Linked DNA regions of Caenorhabditis elegans. The protein of the gene in region 1 interacts with the protein of each later gene in a pairwise test. Each region holds a gene or a part of one and is shown in the gene's direction. Other genes may lie near its edges.

What was found.
Region 2: the proteins of ikb-1 (region 1) and nhl-1 interact in a two-hybrid assay, tested with the Caenorhabditis elegans proteins (2 studies listed by BioGRID).

What each region holds. Positions count from the first base shown.
Region 1 is NC_003279.8:9,683,614-9,689,835, forward strand, and holds ikb-1 (Death domain-containing protein), read left to right. Parts: upstream 1-1,784; 5' UTR 1,785-1,940; coding exon 1,941-2,012; intron 2,013-2,558; coding exon 2,559-2,682; intron 2,683-2,731; coding exon 2,732-2,814; intron 2,815-2,957; coding exon 2,958-3,205; intron 3,206-3,255; coding exon 3,256-3,338; intron 3,339-3,647; coding exon 3,648-3,781; intron 3,782-3,837; coding exon 3,838-4,107; intron 4,108-4,154; coding exon 4,155-4,500; intron 4,501-4,545; coding exon 4,546-4,979; 3' UTR 4,980-5,040; downstream 5,041-6,222. Other genes in the region: rpl-14 (Large ribosomal subunit protein eL14), read left to right, coding at 5,589-5,693, 6,040-6,222.
Region 2 is NC_003281.10:9,147,345-9,155,738, reverse strand, and holds nhl-1 (RING finger protein nhl-1), read left to right. Parts: upstream 1-1,836; 5' UTR 1,837-1,934; coding exon 1,935-1,976; intron 1,977-2,409; coding exon 2,410-2,519; intron 2,520-4,073; coding exon 4,074-4,215; intron 4,216-4,260; coding exon 4,261-4,604; intron 4,605-4,650; coding exon 4,651-4,810; intron 4,811-4,888; coding exon 4,889-4,972; intron 4,973-5,023; coding exon 5,024-5,148; intron 5,149-5,201; coding exon 5,202-5,336; intron 5,337-5,967; coding exon 5,968-7,297; intron 7,298-7,588; coding exon 7,589-7,714; intron 7,715-7,760; coding exon 7,761-7,895; intron 7,896-7,941; coding exon 7,942-8,133; 3' UTR 8,134-8,344; downstream 8,345-8,394. Other genes in the region: Protein irld-34, read right to left, coding at 1-21, 68-171, 563-623; ZK512.8 (uncharacterized protein), read right to left, coding at 8,394-8,394.

The sequences.
Region 1 (6,222 bases):
CTGTAACATTTTTGGTGCTGGAATATACACTCGAAAAGTGATAATGAAATGGCATAGGCACAAAAAATAGTAAAAAAAGGGACAACAATTGTACACAAAGATTTGGTGGAAAGAGGGTGAGACGAGGATTTGAGGCGACGACCCCCTCGTACCTATTAATTATATTTCAGGAGAACTAACGGAACGAGAGCGATCCTAAGTCAATGCTTGAGGGACGACAGCTTCTTCTCCTTTTTATATTTTACCCAAACTTTCCTGGCTTAAATTAAATCAAACTCGGGCAAGACTTGGTTAAAGATCATTCTTTCCCTTATCTAATTTTTGGTGACATTTAAACCTCTCAATTTTACCGTATTTCCTCTATTAGTATGGCACCGGCTACTTAACTTTGAAACGTTATATCTCGATTCATTTCAAAGATATCAATATTTTATAAACTACGAAATAATAGAAAAAGAACTAAAAAATATATTGTTAGATGACAAATTTTGAATAGTACAAACGATTACTGAGATAGTATAAGCTGTCAAAGTTGAACAATTGGGTGCAATACTAATGAGGAAAAACGGTAAGTTATTTTGTTGTTTTGTTGATATAGTTTTGCCAATATCAAGTCTTTTATATTTTTATAGTGGTTCCACAGGGAATACATTTAAAAAATCGATGAAAAATGAAAAAAGTAACAGTAAACCGTCACCTTACCAAAACATTGTTCACTTTATCAGTGCACACTGTCTTGGCGTTATTATTTGCCGTTCAATTAACTCTGAGTCATAGTTGACTATAAATCGAAAATTAGTCTTGCAAATACTGCAAATTATTTCTGAAAAAAAAACTCGACTTTCCAACTAGCGATATGTTTGCAAATGCAAAAGATACTTAGAAAGAAACACTCGGATTATTTCAAACTTTTATTGTTTTATTTCAGAAATCTGTGCTTTATTTACAGTGTGTGATGAAACACTTCTAAATAACGTAGAGTAAAAAAAAACACTTCAAAGCGGTTTTAATGTTTTATCTGCAGACTATTTTAATTGTAACAATAATTGAGCTTTTTTGCGAATTTTTTCGTCCCAAAAAAAAAGAAAAAAAAAGGGTCCAGAAAAAACAAACAAACATGAGTTCAACTCTCCACCACGGGAAAATTTTTTGCGAATTTTTTCGTTCCAAAAAAAAGGAAAAAAAATTCATCAATGAAAAGTAGGCAGTTCAGAAACCGAAAAGCTTAACATTTTTGCCACAATTGATCCCATGCTGATTGGACAACGGTTTTTTAAATCAGAACTTTTGCAGATCTCTCGATTTGATAGAAACATATTAATAGTTCTATCAAAAACAACGTCCTTATTAAAATTTTTTTAAATATTTAAATACAGTTGTCTTAACTTTCAATTGGGTATTTGTTTACTTTGATTCCGAAGTGTCCATTGCATCATCTTTAAAAAAAAAAATTATATCTCCTCTTAAGGTGACACCACTGTTAGATCTCTTGGAGAACTCTGATCAGCTCCAAATATGACCTCATATTATTAGGTTGGCATAGTTGTTTATCGAGTTATCTAACAAATGTTTTTGACACAGTATCTAGATTGTCTGATATTTACGTGTAAGCTCGTGGTCAATATCACATTCTAGTTCATTTCGAACACATCATCATTTTCTGTGCTTCTCTATTTCTCTCCAAATCCGCTGATATTTTCATTCATCCCCATCAGATTGTCATAAGATTGTCCTCGCGCTCTTTTCCGATCGACCAAGTGCTTGAACCCAAAGATCGTGCGAATAGTGTAAAAGTTGAAGAGACATAGGCATTTGCCGAGTTTACACACAGTCGAGCAGGCGGTGGTCGTTGGAGAGAAGCTTTCTCGCGGGATACCCTCATTCTAATATCCTCTCGTTCGTTTCATTTTGATTATTGGTTTTTTAATCATTTTCTAATAATGTCTAAAGCTGATGAAAATGATGCTAATCTCACAGAAAATGGAGTTCACAAATCGAGATCAGACTCAGAGGTTTGTAGTAGTACTACTAGTACTGTAGTTAAAAAATATATTAGCTTCAATGAGGATTTTGACTGAATTATATGAATCAATATATTCAATATAATAATCAATATAATTCCAAAATAACCAAATATCATAATAAAGAACTCTAAAAATTCCCAGTCAAAAATTTGGTAAATTTCCAAATTTGCCAACCATTTGGACTTTGTGAGAAATCTAAAGCAAAGTTACGTATCTGAACCTTTAAAATGGTTAAATACAAATATTTGAAACATAATTATAAAGTAAATATAAAATTGGTAGAAAAAAAACGTTTTTTTTTGGTACAATTACAAAATTGAGAATGGCGAAAACTGTGTGATCGCCAGTTTTTTGGTGGAAAATATCAAAAATTTTCAGAACAGATATATACTTATATTTGGTCATTTTAACTCTATAAAATTAGTTTTTAAAATTTTTACCCTGATGGCATATGAGCCAAATAAGAAAATAATCAAGCACTTTCTAGAAGCGAGCAATTATGAATATAAAAAAGTATATCAAATTATTGTCTAGATAAATTCCCATACATCATCAATTCATAAATCCTCAAGTCAACATCGCCGGTTATTCATTGATGATATTTCAACTATTGAAGCATCTGCTGGTGATCGCGTCTGGGCAACATGTTCTGGTGCTGGTTAGTTTAAGTTACAGTCGGATGAAGAAAATCTTTCTTTTTAATACAGGAGACGCCACTGAACTCATCACAATTCACTTTCTAGGCGATCAATTTGAAGAGAGTGCAATTGATGTTGTTAGGAAACATTCGGTAAGGACCGTTTCGTAAAAGGGAAAACTGAAAAAATAATATAATTTCAATAAATGATAAAATTCGCATTGAAATTGTACCCATTCTCCGTAATCTGTAACAAAATCTGTGTAAAAACTTATATAATTAATGATGTTTTACAGCTTGTAATGTTCACAGTCCCTTCTCTGAAAGTAGACTCAGAATTGGAAGTGGAGCTCAGATTTTCAACTTCAAATGATAATGTGACAACGATTTCTTTCAAATACTTGCCACGAAAAATCCAACGTTCGCATACTCAGGAAATATCGCTTTTTGACAATTTACTTGAATTTGCCACCAACGGAGACACAATTTCATTACTTCAGCCTTTTGTAGCACAAATTTCAAAACAAGATATTGAAGGAAATACGTAAGATTTCAAGTTTTCCTCTCCTTTACAACATTCATAATTTATTCCAGAGTATTCCATGTGGCAGCGAAGAATGGGCAGAGCTTCTCATTAAAGCTTCTACTTTCAGTGATTCCACCCGATATTAAAAATGGTAAGATGTTTTGAGACGAAGCTATTTAAAGCACCTGTGATTGAATTGGCATAAAAACTTCAGTATTTATATCACCAAGACGCGAAATTTCGCATTTTTTCGCGCAGAAAATACGACACGACAATTTTTTGTAAATTTTCATAGTTTGTTTTGAAGGTTATATTTAACAAATTCTGCAAAGACAGAAGTTTGATATTACAGTAGTTTTCTTAAAGGTGCACACCTTTTCTCATTTAGCAAAAATTTGTCGTGTCGAGACCGGAGATCTTATTTTTGGCGCAATATTTTGCATATGGGTAATATTTTCAGAAGTGATAAATGTACAAAACACACATGGTCTTACTGCACTACATGTAGCTATAAGGACTGGAGATCCCGATGCTGTTCATTATCTCATGAATCATGGAGCCAAAATTGACATATCAGATAATCATGGGAGCACAGTAAGTATATAACAGACAAAATGTTCGCTTTGTGTAGATTATTCAATACTTCTCAGGCTCTACATTATCTTGGAGATGCATACAATGAATCAATTTTCAAAGAAATATTAGAACCATCTAGAGGTCAACGGTTTGATGTGAATCAGCTGAATTCGGAGGGATTTGCACCGATTCACGTGGCAGTAAGAAGGTTGAAGCTGTCGTTGATTGAGATGCTCATTGAAGCGGGAGCATTGATTGATTTTTTGGATACTGAAAAGAAAAGAAATGCGTTGATGCACGCAATTGAAATGAATGATTTTGAGACTATTCAGCTTTTGGTTGAGGTAACTGTACATAGAAAAACATTGTTTTAAATTTAATATTTTTTCAGAGAGGATCAGGAACAAATATAGAAGATGAATCTGGAGAGACTGCATTGAGCTTGGCTGTAAAAAACGTTAACTATCCAGTGATTGGCCTTCTTTTAGATAATGGAGCTGATCCGAATAGACAAAATTCTAAAGGAATATGCTTGGCAGATAGTGAAGATAGTGTTATTCAAAACATTATAAATGGAGATAGACCCGAACTACCCAAGAAAGAAGCTTTTGGTGTTCCTAATGATTTAGCTATTTCTAGATCTCCCTTATTTGGGAGATCTCATCCAGATCAGGCTCCAGGTGAAGAGAGTGGGCGGCACAGAGTTGTGAAGAGATCTAGAGAAGAAATATTAAATGGTATGTTTTCTGAAAGATTTTTTGAAATTAGATCCGTTTTTGTAGACGCTCAAACTCTTCTCGCTGAAACTGACTCCATGGCTCCACGTGTTTCGAGAATATCCACATCTGAATCTGAAGATGAGCAACAGCCGGGACCCTCAACATCGTCGGGAACACGAAGGCGTCGAAGTGAATGGGATCGGAATCCGAAGCTTAGTGATTCGGTCTGCAATTTAGATTATTTGACCCGAATTCGCGTTGCAAAAATATTTGATGATCAGTGCAAATGGCAAAGATTGGCACAACAACTCAATTGTGATCACATGGTGGAACTTATTTCTATTTGCTCATCGGGAGACGATTCAAGCCCGACTATGATTCTTTTGGACCAATTTGAACAACTTGAAGACTCATCAATTTCCCGATTGCGCGATGCTATGAATCAAATGGCAGAAGATGATGCAGTTAAATTAATTGATTCCCGTTATGTTTACTGAATATCGCAGAATTGTTTTTATTTATTTTGTTTTCAGTAATAAAACTTTACCATGCATCCTGTATTAATTTACAAAATGCAATTTATATCGAAAAACTGGACTAAGTTGCTTTTTCCTAAAATATGAACACGACTTTTTTGAAAATTCACCGGTTTAATGAAATTCATACAGGTTCAGTACAAATACATACATTAATCACTGAAATTACATAAGAGCAAACAATTGAGCAAAGTTCCCCTTCCTACAATGAAAAAGATGAGATAAACTGCGCCGCAGTTGCGTTGGGTGCGCCGCATACTTGCACGTGTCCCGCCCCATGTGGGTCTCGCCACGAAATTGTCACCGTAGCCTATGGCTGTCTTACTCATTTTGCGATTTTTTTCCCAAATTTTCTTCTTTTTCAGCAAATTTTTGATATTTTTCGGTTGTTTCTGTGATAAAAACGATATAAGAAAAATTCAGAACCAGTTTGTCTATCGATTAATACTAAAATCATAAGTTTTTGCTCAAAATATATCGTTTTAGCTGGTGAAGTCAATTTTTTCGGTGTTTCTTCACTTCTCAATGTACGCGTTATAATTTTGATTTATTATTTAATTTTCAGTAAACATGGTCTTCAACCGTGTCGTTCAAATTGGGCGCGTCGTCTTCATCGCCTCCGGCAAAGACCAAGGCAAGCTTGCTGCCATCGTCAACGTTATCGACGGAAACAGAGTAAGTCATTTATTAATTAAGAAAAAAAAATGTATAGCAGATTTATTGAATTTTACTTAAACTTTTTAAAACGTTTAGATTATCAATGCGATCAGAAATGTTTGTAAAATGCAAAAATCGGAAAGCATAGCTCTGAATCATTAAATAGTGAAATCATCACTGAAATATGCTCGTTAAAGTGATTTACTGAACAATTAGTAATTAGATTGTTAATTTATGATTAATCACAACTTCCCTTTTGAAATTGTTTCGAATATAATCGATATAAATTTAGCTGAGCGTTTGTTTTAAGCAAACACGTAGCCCCAAGAAAACATAAATACAGGCTTCTAATTGTTATTTTCAGGTTCAAATCGATGGACCATCCTCCGATGTCACTCGCACCGTCAGAAACTTGAAGGATCTTCAGCTCACCAAGTTCGTCCTCAAGCTCCGTGTTGGACAACGCACCAAGGGAGTTAAGGCAGCTTTCGATGCCGCCAAGGTCACCGAGAACTTCCAGAAGACTCAATGGGCCAAGAAGATCGCT
Region 2 (8,394 bases), on another chromosome or scaffold:
TTCCAGCTTGTATTCAACGATCTTAAACAAATTATTGGAATCCTATAGTGTTTTGAATAAATAAAACCTCAAACGGTGGCATTGTTGACTCGAGACCCATTTGAATATGTCCATGAATTGTTGTGCAGTTGTCGGGTAATTTGTCCAACTCACATAATGGGCAATAACAATCTGTAAATGATATATTCAAAGTTATCAAAAGTATTACCGATTAGAATGATATTTAAGATTTTTGCATTTGGCAATTGGAAAATAAAATTTAAAACGCAGTTTTTTCCCTATTAGACTTGCACCATCATTTCTCTATTTTGACGGCTCATATTTCGGATTTCTTAAGTGAACTGTTTCAAAAACTGTTTCAGAATATAGATCAATATTTAGCGCGTATTTTGTCAATTAACAAATTTTTGATAAAACCAAAAAAAACCGAGATAAGCTGGACAGTTAGAAGAGAGTAGTAATTTCTTATAAATTTAATTGTTATCCAACATTTTGCGAAATTTCGTCTCTAAACCAAAACTAACTAAAATAGTAATATGTTTACTATTTCATTTTCACTTACCATCTCCAATTACAAAGTGATATAACTGAGTAAAAAGAGCGGCAATAAGTGGCCATTGCATAAATTCCAGCGCGTTACTCTTTTTCGTTGCAACCAGACGATAGACAAACAAAACTTGTGATTAGATTAACCAACTCAAAAACTGCTTTATTTTTTATTATTTCCGCCCACCCTCCGGAAAGCGATTGTCATAGTAACCAGCGAATTTCGCACGCCTTCTAGCTACTGCACTCGCTGGTTTTTTTTTAATGAAAAATAGTCGAAAGGTGGTTAGTGGGAGTTTTGAAGATTACGTAATTATAGAGAGCAGGATGCTGAACTTTCAGATTTTATTCAAATTATATGATCATTAGTTTCAAAAGTTTACCAACAAAAAAGACAAAATAAGTACATACATACGCTTGAAAAATCAAATAATCATGATTTTAAATACAAAAAAAGGAATTTCGGGAAATTGTCAAATCGTCAAATTACCTGAAAAGTTTAAAAAAATGTGCTTTAAAGAAAAATACTCAAAGTGTTATGAAAATACCACAAAAATAAAAAAGAATGAACAAACCAAAAAGGCAAGTTTCAATTGTGACTGTTCTCCATTTTTAAACTTCTTCCAAAAGTATAAGCCACGCCCATTTTCTAACCACTCAACGTCTTCAAACTCTACACAATCGTCCTGATTGGTTGAAAAGTGGGCGGAGCAAATCACTGATTGGTCAAAGTTTTTATTTCGGAGGGAATTCAAAATCGCGGTTTTAATAGTTCGAATTTCCATTTTTCTGCGGTTTATTTTTCGATTTTATTTTGTGGTTTTTTGAATTTCGGACTATTTTTATGTTTTAAAGAAACATCCTAATTTTAATCTACACTTTCAAGCTTCTGAAAATAAATACTGAAGTTCAATTTGTCAATTTCTTCTCAAATATTTCAACGTTCAGGACAGTTATCATAATCTTCGAGAACCAACAAACCAGCTGCATCTTCCCGCCGTTCATATCCTCATATCTTATTGATCTTTTTTTCAAATTCCCATCGGTTTCAAAACTTATGAGTAAATAGTCAAACAAAGCCTAAAAACCAGTAAAAGACTCAACCAAGAACTTTTCAAAATCCGATCCGCGCACCCCACGCACACCGATTGATATCGGCCGCCGCTGTGTTTGCAGGAGATGGCTGGGGGCGTCTTTCGTCTGTTGCTCCCCAGATCTTTCTCCAACTTCTCTGCGTCTCAAATCTTTTTTGGCTCCCGGGAGCACTCGGCACACTCATCCCCAACTCTCCAAGTACACCCCACTTTATTATTATATTCGATTCGTCTTCTCGTTCTATCCTGTTTTTTTTTAATTCGAAATTCCAATATTTCTAAAATTCAATCCTTATGAGCAGTTCTCCACAAAATGAAGCAGAAGCTCGCGAAAAGGTTTGTTCTAAAAAATTTATTTTTTTAAAGAAAATCTTAAATTCGTCGTTTTCCAAACATTTAAAAATTAATTTTGTGGACAACTGGAAATGAAATATACTTTAAACATCTACAAAAAATAATTATTAGAGACATTCATTGAAATTTTTTATCTTAAAAATATTGGTAACCCTATAACGGTCCTTTGAGTTTTAAAACTTAAATTTAAAATTTTTGTCAATTTTCAAAATTTTTATATTTCGTTTAAGCTCCCTATAGGTGCTGTACAAATTTTCTTTATTTCAAATAGACATTGCAACTTTAAAGTAACGTTTTTATTTTTTAAATGAAAAGTTATTCCACTGATTTTGAGAAAAAGTTAAGTCCCTGTACAACATTGATTAGTTGATTAGTGCAATCATCTCTAACCCACATGACCCATAGATTCTTTCAGATGCGCGAGCTGATGTCACGTCCACCATCGAGTCGACCAGCTGATTTTGTGAATCCTCTCGAAAAGATCGAGCAGTTGCTGACGTGTCCGATTTGTCTCGATCGCTACAAGTAAGTCTGTGATCTCAATCAGCTGTTCGTTTTGAAAGTGAGCAGACGAAATTGAAAGAAGAAGCACCACGGACAACCAAAACAAACTATTAGTGTGTAGTTCAAGGATAGACATAGGCCGTGTGACTTCTGACTGACCACTGTTATCATATGACCTAGGCTAAGTACCGCTTGGCTGAGGGGAATTTTTTTGAAAAAACGAGATAGACTTAGGGGATGCATAATAAACATCCGGTTGTTTACGCACTGTGCATCAAAACAATAATAAAATCAGACAGACTGTTATGATGATTAGCTAGGAGAACGTTATGGAGAAATCAACAATCTAAGATCCTGCAGGGATCTTTTAAAAATGAGGATCATTTTTGGGTTAAATCAACAACGTTTGTGTCAATAAATATAGACTAACCTACGTCAGAGTAAAAAGTGGAACATTAAAAAAAAGAGATGTTTCATTGATCTGTTATAGATGAACAAATGTAAACATCCATTTTAAAAACGAGAACCTTTTCTTGTAAAATATTTGAATAATACACTTATAGTCTCAAAAATAAAATAAAAAAAAGTAAAAAATTTGAATAACTTTGCACGAGACCTCAGACAATCATGACAAACATTGTATTTAGTGAACGTAGGGGTAAAGTTTTTCAAGCTTAGAAGGTGTAATACTATGATATTTTTCAACTCGCCATTTCTTGTTCTGTCTTCTCAAGTTTAATTTCTCAAGTTTTATCTTGCTAACTTTTTATAAATCTTTTTGTTTTTGAGAAAGACGAGTAAGAAGAGTTGGCGTAGTATTTTAGCCCACTAGGAGTGTTTTTAAACATTTTTTCTCAATGGCGATTATCTTCAAAACTCAACGTTTTTATTGAAGTTTCCTAATCATAAGTTTGCCAATTTTTTAGATTAAAAGCTCTAGCTTTTGGGCTATAACCCGGTGCTCATTGAAAATTCACAAAAATACCTCCTGCGATAAAAGAAACGTTTCAAATATTTTTTTTTTCAATTCAATAGATGATTGGAATTTTTTTCGAAATCTTAGAAATCATATGACAATATTTCAACTGGTGGCAATCCACTTTTTAACAATGAAACACTTCAAAATCAATCACACAGTTGTTCTCAACTCATTGTTAGAGTATTTCGAAACAGCTTCACCGTTGTATCTATCTCCATGTCGAACGGCTTTTCCTCTACTTTCTCTTTTCTCTTTTTTACAATCGAGAAGGGAGCCAAGAGAAGACTTTTCAATCGGATTCTCCGCCAGTTCTCAACTATTTTGCCATTGGCTATGGGGCTGCAAAGTGTGTGTATTACACCGATGAGGAAACGAAGAAGCCTGCTGGACGTGATCTCTTTGAAAGATATTTAGAAAGAGAAACGAGACTTTTTATGATTTTTTAAAGTTGTGAAATCGTGAGATATTGACATTGGACATCTGAAGAACTTGGTAGTTGAAATGTAATACTTTGAGCTTTGATTTTTATAGAGATAAATGCTGAACAGAATGGCTAAACTTTTAAATATCAAGTTATAGATTTAAACTATTTTCAGACAACCCAAGCTTCTACCTTGTCAACACACATTTTGCTATCCATGCTTGGAAAGTTGTGCAGACACGTTACATCGCAATTTGAAATGTCCAGAATGTCGAGCAGAACACAATATTCCATATGACGGAGTAAAGGCGTTTCAGGTGTGAAAATAAGTATCACTTTGAAGCAAAATATTTCATTTTCAGCCAAACTACACATTAACCGGGTTTCTCGAGATTCATCTGCAGGCCACACCAGAATCGGCTGCAGAAATTGAAGAGTACATTCACAGGTACAATTTGGAACGGTGCAAGATTTGTGATGAGAAAGCAGACTGTGAACCATGTGCACATTGTGATAGAAAAGCATGTAAAGAATGTCGACAGACTCATATGGATATGCTTAAAAGAGACATGTCGCGACTTTTGAATCAGGTTAAACGGCTTGCCAATCGAATTACGGAAGCATCGGATAATTTATCAAAAGGAGTTGATATGATGACAATGAACTGTGAGACAACAAAAGCAGAAATTAAAGAATATTTCCACAGGTTTGTCTGAAAAGATATAAAAACCCGAAAAAAAAATTAAATTCAGATACCAGAGAGATCTGAAAAAGAAGGAAGACAACTTTCTCATGGAAGTTGATACATTTCAAGCTACTGAGACTCGTAATATGAGCAATCTTCGTGATGTTCTGGAAATTGAAAGTTCTAATATGAGTGAAGCAGTTTCTAGACTGGATGCTGCAATCAAGGTGGGATTTCATTGAATATTTTGAAGCTATCGAGAATTTCAAAAAGATATCATAACAAAAAAATCTTAAAATTTTCAGGGAGAATGTTCAATTGAAGATTCTGAACTTGTTCGAATGAAAAACACGTTTACGGAAGGGCTTGAATATCTTAGGAACTTTCAGGTAACTTTTTAATTTAATTGTTGAACATTTCTTATTGTATTAATGCTTTAGCCCGACGCCGACGAACTTTTTAATCGAAAACTCCGATTCTCAGCTGGAGATGATGCTGCTAAGCTTCCAGCAGCGATCACTACTTCTGGTGAACTTTGTGTTCTAGTTCCTCAATTTTCGGGAAGGTATATTTCAAAAACTTCAAAAAAAACGAAAATCTTTAGTCAATACTTTGTAGATACCTCCCTCTTGAACAATCATACCTTCCAAGACCATTCCGTTTACCATTGGAAAGTGACAGTTATCGGGTTAAATCTGACGAAAGAGCAAGTATGAGAGATCGAGAAGCTGATAGGACATCTTCAAGGCACAGGTATGTTCCATGGGAATTGGTTTTGGTTTTTTATTAACAAACGTGTGATTTTTAGTCAAGTAGTTTAGTTGTATAGTGTAGAACACTAATTATAGAAAATCAACATTGTTAAGGTGTCAAAATGAATCTACGTCCGGTCTCTGGCTCTCGACTTCATGTTTTCAGTTTTCTATGTAACGGCTTATTGTTGCAATTTACACTCAAATATAGTACAATTTATGTTTTATTCATTAAAATATCTTAGAGGTCGCCAGAATTGTGTCAAGATGCTAAATTTGCCATGCCAATAAAAATAATAATATTTAAGAAAGGGGCAACGGACAATTTAAAAAACTATTTAAAAGTTAATTATTTTCAAAATTTTATTCGAATTTTTGAAGAAAAACGGCTAGACAAAAAAGTAAAAGCGTTTCCGCGTTTTTATGTTGGTTTATTACTATCCAATTTTGGTTATTTTTTGGCCAAACACATATTGATCGCCCTTTATGAATATTAAATTTGGCACCGGCATTTTGACATAAATCTATTGAAGTTATAGTTCAATTTAGCTTGGATAATTTATTAAATGTATAATCTCACAATTACTTCTCCATACAGTTTCCCTCTCTAAACTATCCTCTTTTAATTTCAGTCATCGAAATCCTGAGCCTGATGAGTCCTCGATTCGTTACCGTCGTCGTCAGCAGCTGGAAGACGAAGCTTGGAATCGTCTCCGTAATTCATCTGCTGCTCCTTCTCTTCTTACTACATCAGTCACTGCGGACTCTTCATCACGAACATCGCCGTGGGCTGCTGATCGTGTCACCCGATCAGTTGAACCAACCAAGTCACGGCCAACAAGTCTGATTGTTCCGAATACTGAAACACCAAGAACTGTATCTCCAGCTAGTAAACCTCCTCTTCCACCACAATCTGTTGAACGGGTTGAGAGGACTGAAGATGCATCACCTGCTCCACTTCCACAACTTCCGATCCGAAAGCCACCTCTGCCACGTCAACAGTCCAGTAACGATGATTCTTTGAATGAGAAAGTGGAAACCATCCGTAGAGCTCATCAACAACGTCAAGATGCATCTAGAGCTGCATCAAGAGCAGTTTCAAGTGAAGAATCAGAGGGAGAGGATTTTCCCGTATCCACCAACCGCGGTAGAATACGAATAGTTTGTCGCGCGGCATCTGTAAACCGTGATGATGGACTGATGAGTATGATCCCAGGAACTGGTACGATCATAAATGTTCCGCCACCTCAACATCAACTTCCGGCATCCGCTCCGATCACCAATGGGACATCTGAACAAGTCGCGATTCCAGTCACACATTTCACAGGTGAGGAAGACGAAAGTGACATCGTCGTGCCAGCGTGGTTACAGCGTCGGAGGCAACGCTTCCAACGCTCGCGCACAAATCCCGACATACAGGCACAGTTCACAAGTGCTCGAGTGCAGCAGCTTCTCGCCGAACGTCAATCTCGTTTAGACTCTTCTACGACAACCGACGAAGAGAAAGAGAAGCTTGCCGTTTTGCGACAGCGTGGCCGCAGCGCTTCTCGTGAAGCTGGTGAATGGAGGGCTCGTGGTAGACCACGTGCAGTATTCGGACGAAAAGGTGCGAAGGATGGCGAGTTAAACTGGCCACGTGGAATTTGTGCATTGTCCGGAGGTCTTGTCGCAACTTGTGATTCGTCTAATCATCGTGTCTGTGTTTTCGATAAAGATGGAAAATTTGTTCGTCAGTTCGGAGGCTACGGTGCCGGTGCCGGACAACTTGATTCAGCTGCCGGGCTAGCAAGCTCAAAGCTCCGAGTTATTGTATCCGACAGGTACAATCATCGAATTTCCGTTTTTGGATTGGAAGGAGATCATTTGTTCTCATTCGGTGGACATGGACAGGGAAATGCTAAGTTCAATAATCCATGGGGAGTTGCTGTCGATGATTTGGGAAGTATCTATGTGGCTGATAAGGTAGGTCAACTATCATGAGACGTTTCTCAGTAATGCGAAAGTTCATAATTGTATACATTTTGATAAAAATTAACTTTGTTTATTAATTATCATCAAGAGAAGAACTTTGTTTTTGTAGATTCATATATTGCAGGCAAACCGGACGTCCGGTATTTTGAGTATCATTTTTTAATTTTTTTTTTTTTGGAAATTCGGACGCCGGACATTATTGTGGTCCGCTTTGCAGATCTAGATTAAATTTTAAAAAACATTGCCCCACATGCTAAAATACAAGTGAAGCTTAAATTATAGGATAATCACCGCGTCCAAGTCTTCGACAAAAATGGTCAATTCATTGCAAAATTCGGATCTTTCGGACATCTACCTGGTCAACTAAACAGTCCATTGTTCATAGCAGTTAGCAGAGTTACTCATCACGTGAGTGATTCCAGATAGATTCATGAATCATTCTGAATCGTTTCAGGTGTATGTATCAGATTCTTCGAATCATCGAATCAGCGTATTCGATCCCCACGGTGTTCATTTGTTTTCATTCGGCGAGGAAGGTTTTCATGGTGGACAATTCAAATTCCCACGTGGAATTGCTATTGATTCACAGGTAAGGCTGGAATGCTAAAGAAAAATTCTAAACCATTCATTTTCAGGAAAACCTAATAATCGCCGACTCCGGTAACAACAGGATCCAAGTTTTCGACGCCCAAGGTCAATTTGTCTCCTCTTTCGGAACTTGGGGTGGAGGAGCTGGACAACTGAAAGGTGTCGAAGATGTTTGTGTCACTGCTGACGGTTCAATTGTTGTCACCGATCGCGAGAATCATCGCATTCAGATCTTCTAAATTATGTTTTTTCGGGCCTTATTCTTGTTTCATTTTCAATTAAAATGTCTCCTTTGTAATTTTCTGTTATCGATACCGATGCCACCCAACTTTTTAGTGTTTTCATCTTTAGGTACAAAGCACTTTTACAAGTATTATTAATTATTATTACCCATTACGACTTTCGGTTTTAAAACACTTCTGTTTTCGAGTTTCAATAAAATATTTATTGAGAAAAAGGAAACATTCATTGGATTTCCGATTGCATTCGATTGTGGATTC